Tamandua tetradactyla: one gene and its partner. The protein of the gene in region 1 interacts with the protein of each later gene in a pairwise test. Links are inferred from orthologs where the notes say so. Each region holds a gene or a part of one and is shown on either strand. Other genes may lie near its edges.

Evidence for each region.
Region 2: the proteins of ARFIP2 (region 1) and ARF3 interact in a two-hybrid assay, tested with the Homo sapiens proteins (2 studies listed by BioGRID and IntAct). The link is inferred for Tamandua tetradactyla from reciprocal best matches to the Homo sapiens genes ARFIP2 and ARF3.

Annotation. Positions count from the first base shown.
Region 1 is NC_135334.1:79,907,269-79,915,013, forward strand, and holds the start of ARFIP2 (arfaptin-2), read right to left. Parts: upstream 3,019-7,745; 5' UTR 2,887-3,018; intron 2,105-2,886; 5' UTR 2,063-2,104; coding exon 1,964-2,062; intron 1,708-1,963; coding exon 1,611-1,707; intron 745-1,610; coding exon 626-744; intron 447-625; coding exon 225-446; intron 1-224. Other genes in the region: TIMM10B (mitochondrial import inner membrane translocase subunit Tim10 B), read left to right, coding at 3,183-3,212, 3,399-3,494, 3,671-3,847. UniProt on the Homo sapiens protein: Plays a role in constitutive metalloproteinase (MMP) secretion from the trans Golgi network. May have important functions during vesicle biogenesis at certain cargo subdomains, which could be predominantly utilized by secreted MMPs, such as MMP7 and MMP2.
Region 2 is NC_135333.1:109,850,073-109,857,748, forward strand, and holds the start of ARF3 (ADP-ribosylation factor 3), read right to left. Parts: upstream 3,069-7,676; 5' UTR 2,841-3,068; intron 2,397-2,840; exon of another isoform or gene 2,394-2,396; 5' UTR 2,340-2,393; intron 1-2,339. Other genes in the region: WNT10B (protein Wnt-10b), read right to left, coding at 7,219-7,676.

The sequences.
Region 1 (7,745 bases):
TGTGAGTCACCTAGTACTCCCCCTACCCCCAACCCCTCCAACTCTGGACTTCTGTACACACCCTTAGGCTGCCTCCACAGGTGAGTGTTGCTGGGGGCAGGGCTGGGCCCACCCTGGAGGGGTTCTGCCTGTGGGCTGTAGGAGGGAGGGAGGGAGGCTGAGGGGTGACTGCCTGGGAGGGCCCGAGCCCAGGTCCCCCACCCTCTTTGGCCTGGCTGAGGCACCTGAAGCTCTGGGGACTTCTGGCTGAGGTCAGCAAAGGCGTCCCCCAGTGCATGCTGGGTCTGCAGCAGGCTGTAGAGATGGGCTGTCAATGCCCGGCCCAACTGCAGGACACTCTCATACTTGCGCTTCGTCTCACGCAGCAACTCAATCTGCAGCTCTAGTTCCAGGTCCACAGTCCGGGAGCCTCGCCCAAATCGCTCTGATAACAGCTGCTTTGTACACTGATTGGGAAGTGGAAGAATAAGTCAGAGACCCTAGAACCCTCACCACCTACTCAGGTACCCACCCCTGCATCCCCAGATGCCAGATCTCAGTCATAGATGGGATATTAGGGTCTCGGGAGAAGGGAAAACATTACCCAAGGGAATTATGAGTATATGGAGAGGTGCTCAAATCCCACCTTGTATGTGTTGATGCCCCATTTCTTGACGATGTCAAACTTCTCTCCAGCGATGCCCCGAGCCACCTCATCTCCAGTGCCAGAGGGAGTGGCACTGTGAGAAGGATGGCGTCCGGATCCTAAAGGACCAAATTCTCTGACATTAGCCTCTTTCAGATACAACCAGATACCTCTGTGGCCCCACTCATACTTCCCTCCCAGGACATGAAAATGACTTCCCTGAAGCAGCAGGGACTAAAGACACAGATTTGCCTGTTCACTAGGGAGAACTCATACCTTATGCCCTGAGACCCAAATCCCATATACATGTTCTGCCTGGGAGGGCCCGAGGCAGGAGATGTATATTCTTCCCATACTTGTACAGCAGCTTCTGTGTCTCTGCAGTGTAGCCAAATTCCTCCTGAAGAAAGAAGTGAGGGACACCTCCTTCTGAGGTGTGTGTGTGTGTGGGGGGGGGGGGGGCACTGTTGCTACAGTACAGTCTCTCCCAGAAACAGAAGAAAATGTACCAAGTATATTGGAGGGAGGGCGGAGGAGGAGAAGGGCAGGTTAAGATTGGTTGATCCTAATAATAGGAAACCTGGTGACTTTCCCATGTGGCATTCTAGTCTGTGTGGAACTTGGGACTGTTTGTTTCTCTAAATTTTAGAGTCTTAAATAGACCTTTAAGAAACTTCAGAAAATTCAAAATCAGTCTCAAGCTACAGAACAGTAGAACTTCTGAGAACTAGAAGTCTTAACCTGGTTCAAGTAGTAATAGTAAGGAAAGAATAAATGGGTGTATCTCAGGGGCTAAATGGCAAATGGGAGCATATGGACAACACTGGGAGCTGCTCTTGGACTGAAGAGGGTCCATGGAGTTCATACTAACGGAACCTCCCCCCAGACCTCCATGTATAAACCAAACTTCTCTAGACATATCTGACACTCCCCAGAACAATTCCTATCCTCCCTCTTCACTCAACCTTCCTGTTTCTGATCATACCTGTAGGGATGAGTCCATCACCAGAGCCCCCATAACCACCAGACACAATGCTGGTTTCATTGAGGTTGGGTCCTGACACCATCACCTGCTGGAGGTCCTAAAGGCCAGAGAAGAGAGGGGCTTCAGGAACACAGGGCAGCTGAAGCACTTTGACGGTAGGAACAAGGTTGGATTGAAACATCAAAGAGAGAGCACTCAAGGGAAGTCTGCACAGAACCAGAATGAAGATATGTGAAAAGATTAAGGGGAGTTAGCTACATTAAGGGAAAGCTAGTGGAATGAGAGTGACAGCCCAGGATCTGAGTTGGGATTGCTAAATTGAAACAAATAGGAGAAGAATCAAACTGAAGCACCTGCTCCAGCCCATCATCCTCAGGAAGCTGCCCAGCTTCGCCATTCCCGTGGATGGGGATCTCCATGGTGGCTGCCTTCCCCAGGATCCCGTCCGTCATGGCTGGAGAAGCAACTGGAGTCAAAGTCTCCACCCCAGGGCCCTGCAAAACCCGACACAGTTCTGGAAACAGGCCAGCACTCTAGGAGAAGAAAGCCTCCCCGGCCATTTTTAAGGTTTTAGAGGTTATCCCCAGGGATTAAATGTGGCCTGGGGCTCAGCCACCACTCCTCTCCTCAGGTGTATGTTTCTCCTCTCCAGCGTGCACATTTTTACACAGGCACATTCAGGCCTCAGGTGTCTTCTCACAACCCCTCAAACGCACCAGGACTCGGTTGCTCAATCATGCATTCAATCATTCAGTAGGCATTTAATGAATGCCTACCATGTGGCAGGTACTACATGAAGCTCTAGGAATGCAGCAGTGAATAAGAGAGATGAAGTCTGTGCCTTCGATGGAGCTTATCTCCATTCATGTGTCTCTCCACCGACCAGGAGATGAACCCTTCTCCAGGGCTCAGGTGTCCGCCCCCATTAGGGTATATTCTCTATTGCTCGGCCATTACCAGTCTTTTAATTTTCTTCCCTCTTACTTCAGGTGGTCTCTCCCTTCTCCATCCCATGCACCTTCTCCTCCTCAGCACCTCCTCACCAGGATTAATCAGTCGATGTATGTTCCCCATCTGTAGTAAAAACCTCCCTTTTCCAGGACACAGATGATGCCTTCCAAAGTCAGTTATGTCTCCCCAGGTGTGTGAGCCCGCCCCACCCCCATACACCTGGGCATCAGGTGTGTCTCCATCCTTCCCCTGGGCTCAGGGGCATCTTGCCGATAGGGCAGCTTCGTGCATTTAACTCCCCCTCGCCCAAGTATGAACCTCTCACCTCGGGCCGGGCCGCTCTTCCCCTCAGGGCGCCAGGCCCGGGCCGCGCGGGGACCTCGGGCTCCAGTTCCCGTCGCGATCCTAGCAGCAGGTCAGGGATTCGGCGGAAGTGACGTCCCTCATGGGCAGAAGAAGCCGGCCACGTCGCAGATTATGAGGGCGGTAGTGACGTTAGCCTCCGGGGGCAGGGCGCTCTTTGAGCCAACCCCTCAGTCCTCTGGGAATCGGAGAAAGATCACTTCCGGGGCGTTATCGAGAAACGGCAATGAAAGTGATGTGGTACGCGCAGGTGGCGTGATGGAGCAGCAACAGCAGCAACTGAGAAACGTGAGTGGGTCGGTGCAGGGCTGTCCCTTCAGCTCACATCCCTACCCCCGAAGGGATAACCCAAAGAGCTAGGGATTCAAAGGCTGGGAGTATCAGGCTGTGATGCCTGTGAAACCTCGGGCGGCGGGGACTGAAGTGACGTGTGGAGCCCCTTATCGCTGTGTTCCTGGCTCCCTTTTCTCCCAGTTGCGAGATTTCCTGTTGGTCTATAATCGGATGACAGAACTCTGCTTCCTACGCTGCGTGCCCAGCCTGCACCACCGAGCTCTGGACGCCGAGGAGGTGGGGAACTGAGTAGGAATTCCTCAATTATCGGTAGACTATCTCCCCTTCCCTGCTTCCCCCACCTCCGGCCCCAGCCTTTCCATGGTCTTTGGCTGTAGGCTGGGGATGACGAAGGAAGGCGATGAGGCCTGGTAGGACCCTTTGGCCTCTACTTCCATCTGTCTTTTTTCCAGGAGGCCTGTCTGCACAGCTGTGCTGGGAAGCTGATCCATTCCAACCACCGCCTCATGGCTGCTTATGTGCAGCTCATGCCTGCCCTGGTACAGCGCCGCATCGCAGACTACGAGGCTACCTCGGCTGTGCCAGGTGTTGCTTCTGAACAACCGGGAGTCTCCCCATCAGGCAGCTAGCTGTCCCCTCCCCAGGAGGGGAGGGACTGGAGGGAACCTCAGATTGAGGAAGCCAGTGGACCTTGGGCTGGGTGAAAGCTCTACAGAGTAGGTGAGGGGAATGCCTGAGAGCTTGGTATCGTTTCTTCTTTCCCTGGAGCCAATAAACTGGCTTTTGACTCCGTTTGATTTCCATTCTGGGCAGGGAAACTTTGCTTGCTTTATTGGCACCATCTTTTGTTCTGCCAGTTAGTGCATATTTGTTAACTTCAGACCTGGCAGCTGAAAAATTACCTTTATATGCAGAAGAATACCTCAACAGTCCCAGATCCCTGGTTAAAGCAGGATTTGTGGGTATAATTTCCAAGTTTGTAAAAGTAATAGAAAGTTGGTTCTTGCTCAGATGACAGAGAAAATGGGAGCTCTGTCTTGCTGTCCTTGAGACTTAAATGGCTCACTCGTGAGCTAAGTCTGTATTAATAACTAATTTTTTCATGGACTGTGTCTTACAAGAAAGGATTCTGCCAGGTCTCAGGAACAGTGGCAGTACCTAAGAGCAACAGATCAAAAAACAAAAGGACTTTTAGCACTACCTCCTGGGAAGTCAGTGGCCAGGAGCAGAAATGATCCTATAGAACTTCATCCATTTTCTGAGGTCATACTTTATTATTATTATTTTCTGTCTTCCCAAGATGAGGAGTAAAACCTTTAAACAAAGATGGTATGTTTGCTTGTCTTCCAGGACAGTCAGGAAGGGGAAAACTTGGGGAACCATATTGTACAGTGCATACATCCTTGAAGGAAAGAAACTTAAGGGAGAAGTAGATTGTGGTAACTGAAAAAAAAAAGGATAAAACCAAATCTTCCAGACCTCTTTAATGTTATTGCAGTGTCTTACTCCTTGTCTATAATCTCTTTAACCCAATTCTGCACCTAGCATTGTTCCCACTGTACCTATTCAGTGCTTTCAATTCCAGCCTCTCCATTGTTTTCTTGCCTTCCTTATAGAATTTACTTTTCTATTTAGCAGTCGGAATGGCATATGACTCCACTCTCCATTTTCTTACTGCCATTGGCTTGTTTTTTAAAATTAATTCAGCTGTTTTATATTTTTTATTCCTCTTTTCAAGCTGCTGCATGTTGTGCTGCTGGTGGGAAAATTCTACATCAACGTTTGTTTGTGTCCATGCAGTAAACTTCCATTGTGAATTTGCGTTTCCTCTCTTTCCATGTCGTATAATTAATAATTGCTGGAGAAGGGCTAGGAACATAGATCTGTCTGACTCTAAAGTCTGTGTTCTTTGAACTTCCAAACCTTATATCTGCAACCTCACCTGTACCCAGCTTGTTGGCATGGAAAGACAAGCATCCTTCAATGTGACCTATCAATTCTCTCTTAAATTTTCAATCTCTTCTGCTATGGTTCTTTTTGTCTATAAATATGATACTTAAGAGAATAACGTTATTCCTACCAAAAAGAGACAGCCAATTGTATATGGGAACAATGTGATGTTTAAAGCATAACAATTAGGAATAAATGTTGACAAAATTTTATCACTTATCACACATACACACACACACACACACACACACATATATATATATTCCTTTGTGGCCATTCAGCCATACAATGTCATTATTTGTGTTTAGAAGCTACCATTCTCCTGCCACTTTCTTCTAAAACTGAGCTCATGGCCTCTTACCCACCCCTTTATACTTTGATGTTTACATGGATAGTCCATTCAATACCCCGCTCTCTAAGTTCTTTGAGCCAACCTCCCAATGATTTGCACCCGCCCTCTTAGTTATATCACCCCAAACTGCTTTTTCTTCAAAACACTTACATCTCATTCACTGACTATATTCCTTCCACTTTGTTTATTTAACTGTTCTTTTTACTACCATTCTTTGATTTCACTGGAGGATTCAGGCCATTGCATCTTCTACTTTGTCCATTAGCACCATCCTGACTTTAGATTCCTATCCGGCTTATATTTTAGTGATTTTCTTCCAATAGCCTAAATTTCTTTGTCTCTCATATCTTTGTTGGACTATTCTCACAAAATATCAACCTTAGGTGAAAAAAGCATTGTGCCTGCATTTGAATAACCAAATGCCTCCCAAGGAAATTACTGTAGAGCATATTTTCACCAATATGAATCCGTGATTACCAACTTCAAATGGTGTCTCAGCCCCTATAATCTCATAAAATTTTTCTAGTCATCTCTCCTTCCTGCAATAATTATTTCAAACCAATATTCGTTAGGCTCTTATTACCCCCTACCATTCTTTTCACTTTCTGTGGTAACCTTACTTCTTCAGACAAAAGGAGAAACCTTTAGCTAGGAACTCCCTCAACATCCAGCATTATTCACCCACATTACCATCACTTCTCTTTTTCTCCTGTCTAAACAGAGCAATTATCTCTCTTCTCTAAGGCCTGTGCTCTGAATTCTGTTCCTTTCCTCTTCAGTAATCAATGATTTTTCTCTCACTTTACTGAATTATCATCAATATCTAAATATGCTAACTGTTCCCTTGTTAAAACAAACCATTCCGGGTGCTGTTTGTCCAGCTACCATCCTATCTCTTCCACTTTTCCAGCTAAACTTTTCAAAACAGTTGTTTACTTCGACCTTCTCCATCCTACAGGTCACTCTCCACTCCCATTCCTCAACCCAAGGACTTTGACTTCTGCAACCTTTATTCCACTGAAATAGGTCTTACTAAAGTCATCCTGGTTCACCAAGGTGACTTGAGTCCAGTGATTATTTCCCAGTCCAGTGCTTATTTCACTTGAGTCCAGTGCTTATTTCACTTCTCTGTAGTGTTTGGTACTATTCAACAAAACTAGTCCCTTATCATTGGCCCTCTTCCCTTGGTGTTTGAGTTAACTCTCATGGTTTTACCACTGTTTCTTTACTGCAACTACTTTTTCAGGCTCATCCTCTTCTCAACTTTAAAAGTAAAACTATTCCCTAGGTCCTGTTCTTTCATAGTCTAATTTTTCTAAGATGGGTTTATCCCCACTCTGGGCTTCATTTATTAATGACTCCCAGATCTCTCCTTTGAGCTACTTAACATCTCCACTTAGGTGTCTCAAGCTCGACTCATTAAGGCCCAACTCATAAACTTCTCTCCTATACTAGTAATCGTCCAATTGCAGAAGCTAGACACGTAGACACACCCCTCTCACCTCTTCACTCAATTGCCAAATTCTTTCTATTTACATTTTTAAGTATTCCTGGATTGTGCATGTTTCTTATTCCTCTTCACTTCGTGACCCCCAGATTATTGAATTGCTTCTTCCCATATCCCCCTTGATTTATTTTGTACCCCTTGTACCCCTTGATTTATTTTCAGTCATCAACCAGAAAACACAGGCTGATGCTTGAAACCTTGCAATAACTTCCCATTATTAGGGTAAAATGTAAATTCTATCACTGTCAAAATTTCAACAGCCTTTTTAACAGAACTATTAAAGCCAGTCAAATTCATATGCAATAGTAAGACAACCCAAATAGCCAAAACAATTTTTTGGAGGCCTTACATTTCCAATTTCAAAACATACTACAACAACCTCACACCTATAAGAATGGCTGCTTTTAAACAAACAGGAAACTAGATGTTAGAGAGGATGTGGAGAAACTGGGACACTTATGCACTGCTGGTGGGGATATGTAATGTTATAGCCACTATGAAAGACTGGCGTTTCCTTAGGAAACTAAATACTGAGTTGTCCTATGACCCAGCAATAGCACTACTTGGTATATACCCAGAAGAACTGAAAGCAACAATACAAACAGACGTTTGTACACTGATGTTCATAGCAACATTATTCACAATCGCCAAAAGACGGAAAACAGACCAAATGCCCATCAACAGACCAGTGGATCAACAAAATGTGGTATATACATAT
Region 2 (7,676 bases), on another chromosome or scaffold:
TCCACACAGGCGCCTTAGGCAGCAAGTTATTCTTTTGTATATCTCCTTTCCTTTAAGGCAGTCGTGAGTGTTCGTATTATTACTGTTATGACGATGATGATGATTAATAGCAGTTAACTTTTTTTGGTGCTTACTATGTGCTTTGTACATTACTAAGTGCTTTACATGTCACTTAATTTTCATGACAACCCTATGAGGTATTACAGGGTTACAGATGAGGAACATAAAGCTTTAAATCCCCCTTTACAGATGAGGAACATAAAGCTAAGAAAGGACATGCTATTTCACCAAAAACATGCACCTAGTAATTAGTAGAGGCAGAATTTGAACCCAATTTTGTCTAATTCCAAAGCCCACATTCTTAATTACCACACCATTCTGCCTCTAAATTAGCCTAAAACTAAAATGGTGAGAAGAGCCACACACAGTGACATGCTCTGAGTCTCAGGCCTATTGGTGTCTATTTTTAAAGGTATTTGGGAAAGCAGATTCCACAATTTCCCCCAGTTACATATTCAGGTTTAGCAAATCTGGTTTTAAAGAAGTTTCTTCCTTCTAACCAATAAATCCCACCCACTGTCCTCTGAACCCATTTCCTCTTAGTCTGAGTCCAGTAGAAAAGAGAATAGCACAGATGAACACTCACAACGTGACATTTGTGCACCAAAGACTTCACTTCCACTCTTTCCAGTCTGCTATCTGCTTTCCTTTATACTTCCATTCAGCATAATAATAATAACAGCAGCTACCATTCAATGGCACCAATTCTGTGCCAGGCACCATATTTGTACATTGGCCCCTCCTCCATGATCTCCAGGTTCCCAATTTACAGGCAACACTTTGAGGAACTTAAATCGAATGTAGAGACCTCTTTGTACACTATGGGGAGGCAGGAGATCTGGGAATTCAAGTAAATAATGATTCTATGTTCTGGTAATATTTTCCTCTTTGGCTCTCAGGTTCCATTACCCACGCCTGTGTTCTGTCTCTCAGGAAGGCAGAGAGATCAAGACTTGTAATTACAGAGTCCAAGGGTCTTTGTATCCTTGATTGGCTATCTCTAGGCCTCTCCCTGACAACCAAGCCATCTCCTTTCTTTTCCTTTAACTATAGGAAAAGCTTGTCAAGTTCTATCCATTCACACCTTGTATTCACTTACACATTCATCATGAGTACCTGTGTGAACATACATTATGTGAGACAAGAGAAGATCCAATTCCTGCATTCAAAAAACTTCCAATTTCTTTGGGAAAACCAATACGTACGCAAAAATTTTTCAACTATGCAAGGTAAAACGCTGGAAGGCAGGAAGCATCTGAATATGTGAAACATGGGAAAACTTTCTGGTTGACTCTAAGATCAATGATTCATTCTGTGAAAAACTGAACCTCAAGGGATCGGCTTCTTTCTCAGGATGAGCTTTTACAGACATGTTATTCAACCTCAAATCTAATGTGCAATACCACTCCACTGTCCCCTTCCAGTCTTAACAAGTGGAGACACCTGCCCCAACAATATGCCCAAGATAGAATGGCAGCAAAGACTGTCACTATACCTGATTGGTGACAAGGAAGAAGGTATGCAGAGACTTGATTCTGTCCTGTTGCACTGACCCAAGCAATCAGACTCCTGCAGCACATCTCCTCCCAATTAAACTTTCATGTCACAGACCAGGGGTGACCTGACCCAACCCAACAGCAGCAAAGGCAGGTTTTAAGTTACAATTCTCCCTCACCCAGATGACCTCACTATTCTTCTCACTTCTGACCACACACCACACCACACCACACCAGTCCTCTTGGCCTGGCCAAATGGAGAAGATCCAATTCCTGCATTCAAAAAGCTTCTAATCTCTTTAAAGAAAACCAGAACGTATTACTGCCAGCAAGCAGGCAGTAATATAACCCAGAAAGAAGGGAACGCTTCAAAAAAAGAAGCTACAACTTTGCTAATCAAGTGGCTCGCTTTAACAGGGAACTCCCCCCCCCCCCCCAATGGTTGGTGTAGGCTATAGATCCATTTTCTCTTCCGGGAATCTTGCTACTCCTTAAAGAAAGAAAGCGGATTGGAAGACACAAACTCCGGGCCAGCGACAAGACGCTCCCTCCTCCTGTGAGACCGCCCCCGCTCCGCCTGGGGGAGGAAGGCCCCACCTCTCTTCTCCAAGTCAGATAAGATCCCCCTCCCCCTTCTCCAGTCTCCTCTCCTTCCACACCCCACCTGCTGCCCTCTCCTTAACCTGCGGTTCCCAAGACCCGAAACCGCAACCTCCTCCAAAATCGTGCTCCTGGGTGCCCCACTAGCCGCGCTGCCGACTAGCAACCAAACCCATTACACACCTCTGCCCCACGATGGGGAGGGTCGCCACAGCAAGGCTTCTCTCCGGTCTCCTACTGCTACCAGGTGGGGGAAGAAAAGGGGGATAAGAAAAAACTGCATTACCTAGCCTTTAACAGAAATTAAAAAAAAAAAAAAAATCAAAAGAGCGATCGCCGCCCCCGCATCTCAGGATTGTTTTTTTCCCCCCACAACCCCAACCCCTAGCAAACCCACCTCCTGCAGGAGAGAAGAACCTAACTGCATCCCAGGTCGCCCCCTTGTGCGAAGCGGAGGACAAATCCGTATGCGCCCCCCACCCCCACTCCGGCTCCGCGTCCTTCAAATGTGGGGGCAGGAATGAGACGCCCCGAGACCCCTCTCCGAGCCTCCAGTGGGAAGGGCACACCACCCCATGCCAAGCCGTGGAGGCGGGGGGCGGGAGGGCTGAAGGCTCTACGCCCTCAGTCCCCACCTCAAGCCTCTTCTCTACCGGGACCCGCCTTCCCTCCCCAACCTCTCACCTGTTCCTGCTCCCAGCTCCGCCGCTGCGGCCGCCGCCTCCGCAGATTCCACTCGGCTCTCACTCCGCTCTCTCCAGCTCCCCCACGACTTCGGCGCGGCTGCTCCCCTGGCCCCGCCGCTCCCCGACTCCCTCCTTCCCTCTCTCCACCTAGCACCGGAAGCCGCGACGGCGACAGGAGCTGTGCGGCTCACCCCTACCCCAGCCCGGGATACTTCCCACCTCCCCGATCGCGCGAGAGCTGCGCGGCGGCGAACGGCAGTTCTCGCGATATCCATCACCATGGCAGCCGCTGCAGCAAAGGCAGCCCAGCAATGGAGCTGCAGCCAGGGCGGGGGCCGGTGTGGGGGCTGGAGGCTGCTGGCGACTGAAGCGTGAGCCAGGGAATGGGGATGAGGCAGTGGGGACTGAGGTGAGAATTCCAAGCTGAGGGCTATGCCTGGAACTTGAAGACTGGGACTCCAAAGCTGGCTGCACTTTAGACTGAGGTTGGGCTAAGGAGGCTCTGGGGCTGTTTGGGTAAAGTCAGGAGCCGGGCTTGGGTGAGAATCCTTGCTGTGCCTCGCTTTGCCCCGTCAGACCTCATCCTTATTTCTTGCCTAGGACCAGCTGTATCCCCCTGAGAACTCTCACTGCTCCCAGTGTTGCTGTTCACTACTTCCAAATCTAGTTTACTCTAAGGTCTGAATCAAGAGACCCTTTCTCATTGGAAAGAGGAGAGTGATGAATTTAAGGGACTGAAGGAAACAGCTGGACTCTGGGCCAGTCAGGAAGCTGGAAATCGACAGACAAAAACAGTAGAAGCCTAATATATTCAGAGGTGGGGTTTAGGAAGTGTACCTGGATGAGTATGGATTTTAGTATCCCCAGGAAAGTGAAGGACTTTGCACCTAATGTTTTTGACCTCCTACCCATCCCCATTTCCCTCACACTCATTTTTGCACCTGTTCTAGACATGCAAAACTGGAACAGTCACAGCTATGATGGAAGAAGGACAATAATGATAAGAACAGAAGAGGGTTCTTTAAGTGTTCTTTCTCCTCATTCACAGCATCAAAAGGGAACACATGACTCTTCTCTAAGGCTGAAGCAGAAATTATTGCTTTTCTGGGTTTGTTACTGTGTTTCTGGTCTACTTGTAAGAGGGAGGCTGGTAGCCACACAGTGTCTGCCCTCTTGCCTCCATCAATTCCTGCCTTCACAAGTCCCTCCCTCTTAACCTAGTCTGTTTTCCGTCTTTTAACCTGGAAGATAACATGACCCCAGAATATGAATCCAATAGGACCCTAATTTAGGATAGTGATGGATGAATTGGCTGGCAAGAAAACCTGTATATAATGAAGAGAGTTATCTCTATCCTGGGCTGTTGTTATTCAGGGCCTTTGTCTTGCTAAGATCTGTGCTTTTAAAAGCAAAAGACTCCTCTGGTATTGATGCAGATTCTGTGCATGGGCCCTGTTACACCTCCACATGATTGCTTTAGCCTTTCCACTGTTTCTAGTAGCACCACTCTAGGTCTTGTCCCCACACACTCTGACCACCAAAATTATGCTTTCCATCCCCCTTCCCTAGAAGAATGTGGAGCATGTTGCTGTTCCTGCCCAAGATTTCAGACCTCCCCAGGTGTGACAGAAGGATAGAAATGGTGACTACCTAATACGGTTAGCAACAAGCATGGTATTTGAGTCAGGACTGATGAATAGAACTGGAGAATCTCCGAGCCCTTCTGTCCTTCACCCCTCTAGAGACTCAAGAGGAAAAGGTTTGTTGCAACATCAGTGGGGGTTTCCCACGGAGCAAACAGGAGCGCAGAGAGAACCAGTGCTGCCCAGCTGGCAATTAGCCAGCCACTTGGTAAAGCCTAAGGGGAAAAGAGTTCATCCAGAGCTAAAGGAGGCCAAGAGATTTGGCTTACATACAGTTCATCAGCCTTTCTCCCTCCCTCTGGCTGCCATATAAACTAAGTAAAAGCTAAATTGCAGCCACCCACTCTGTGGGTTCCACACTCCCACTCCTGTTGCTGACCTAGGCCTGGGCCTGAGTCCAGTGTATGTGCCAAGAGCAGAAGTAGGGAAGGAGGGGGGGTGTTGGCCTTCCTGACAAAATCCATTTGTAATTTCTCAAGGTTGTGGTTTGGGGCTTAAATTTGCCACAGAGTATGTCTGACGAAAGAGGAGGGAAAGCTAGAAAGAGAAAGGGAGCCAAAGCGATTACTGAGGAAGGAAACAGGAAAAAGCTGAAATATTCTTGCTGTGACTCCATTGGAGATTCTCCTCAGTCTTCCTGAGAGTGAGAAATTCCCATTCTGGAATTCTTGCTTGTTATTTTCCCTCATATCCTAAGTCCATTCCAGCTGCATCCTACCTACTCTGTTCAGCTCCCCCATATACATACTAGGCTCAGCCAGTGCCTGAACTAAAGATGGGATATCTTCCTGCCTCCATCAAATTTCCAAACTCAGAATTCCTAGTGCTCAAGTGGAAATTCAGATAATAAAATTTTGCCATAAGATATTGCACTAACCCTAAACTCTTCAAAATATCTTTGCTACCCTGGTGAGCCTCCGCATATCATCTGAGTTGAGTGATAATACAGATATAAATGTTGCCTAGAGGAAGAGAACAATTTGCCTTTCCTGGCCAAAGAGATGACCCGTTAGAGTCAGCATCTCACAGCCCCATAAATATGCAATCATTTGTAGCGTTCTAAATGTATGATGCATATCCCTTTTCCACATTGAACCTTGGGAAGATAAATGTATTTTCAAAGATAATTGGGCTAGGAATAGAATGATTAGAAAAGAAGAAATGCTGTTCTCCCTAGTTATGGTTATTGCTTAAAAGATGAAGGAATTATTTTGCTAAGATTAAATGCAGAAGAATCCTGAGTAAGGAGAGACAAAATGCATATGCAAATAATTCAGTAACAGACCAATTCTGAGCATGGAAATTCCTTTTATATGTTTCTCATTAATCTTGCATCTACCTCCCAAGTTCTCTGGTATGGAGCCAGAAAGAAAAGCACCTGCTACTTTGGGTCCAGGTTCAAGGCTGAGATACAACTGAGAACTTAAAAAAAACAGAACAGAGGTAATTTCATGTCTAGATGCAGGGGTCAACAAAGTACAGTCAGAGGGTCAAGTCTGGCCCTGCAGCCTGTTTTTGTGAATTTTTATTGGACATTGCCACACCCTTTTGCTTCTGTACGGTCTATGACTGCTTTTGATCAACAACAACAGAGTTGAGTAGTTGTGGCTGAGATGAGTAGTTACAATAAAGCCCACAAGCCTAAAATATTTACTCACTAACCCTTTACAGAAAAAAAGTCACCAACCCTTGTTCTAGGGTAGTGACCAAGATGAAATCTGGAGTGGAGGCACATAGAGAGTAAATTGGGCCTAGGTTTGCATCTCTAGCCCCTCCCACTTAGAAGTTCCTCCTGGTTTTGCACACTAAAATTTCCACCTAAGTCACCAAGGACCATTTCAGATCCTTTGTGGAACCAGGCAGGATATACATAAAGTAACTGAGAGGCGGAGAGCAGGGGTATTCACCTGGAAAAGAAGCCATGCACTAGGATATCAAGTGTGGGCAGCAATATCACCATCTGCATCCACTGGTCCAGTAACTTAATTTATTTTCATTACAAACAGGAACCAAGAACAAGTCTCAGTACAATAAATTATCCATTTCCATCCCTCATGCTGAAAAAAAAAAAAAGAGGCTGAGAGAGTCTTAGGTAAAACCTTCCCTTGGAGGATCCCCTTTAACATCGGAATGGAGAGAGACAGCTCACTAAGGGTCTGCACAGAACTCTCTGAGGACTCAGGGGAGAGCCACCCCTCAACACTCTGTCCCTTCCCCAAGAGAAAGCTCTCAACTGCTGTCTCCCATGACCCCACAAGCGAGGACCCAGTTTGCAGTAAAGAAGTTTGGGAACAGCAAATAAGAGTATAGTCAGTTTCTGGATACAGATCATATGATTCCACATAATGCCTGTGGCTATCCCTCGAGAGACAAGTGGTCAAACTGTAGGAACTCCCCTATCAAATTAGTATGAATCAGGATTAAAGGGACCCTGGAGTCGGGGGCAATACAGTGCATTTCAACTTAGTTTCCTCAGGTGTTTGAAGAGCAGAAAAGGAGTGACATTCCCCCACAAAGCCCTTCAACTGTGGGGAGAAGCTGCAAATCACATGGAGTCCTCCTGGCCCCTGCCACCCCCAAAGCTGTTTTCCAGGGAGATGCTTCAAGCTTTCAGGGACCAAGATCAACCCTGGACAGAAATCAGAGCAAAGGGCTGAAAAGGTGCACACACCCACACACCCACACACACACATACACACACACCATTCCCCAGGCCCATGGTGAGGCTGACCGTCATTTACACACATTGACCCACTCTGTGACTCTGCACTCATCACACAGCACGTAGCAGCACCAGTGGAAGCGGCAGTGGCAACGCTCAATTCGTGTCTGCCGGAGCACATTATGCCCACGACCACAGCACAGGCTCCCACAGCCATCCAGCAGGCGGCTAGTCTTGTTGCAGGCCCGGCCCCGTGTTCCCGGGGAGCTCACGGTAGGGTCTCGGTCACAAAAATCAGGAGACTTCTCAAAGTAGACCAGCTCTCCTGAGAGACGACCGGGACGCAGGCGAGGTTGGAAGGCTCCTGAGTTGCGGTTGTGGGTATTGATGAAGATGGCCCTGCCCAGTCGCTCCCTCAATGCTGCCCCCACTGCCCGGAACTCCGGGGCCGCCCTCCAGCATGTCTTGAACTGGCAGCTGCCTGAAGTGCCATGGCACTTGCATTTCCGTTTCAGGTTTTCAATTACCA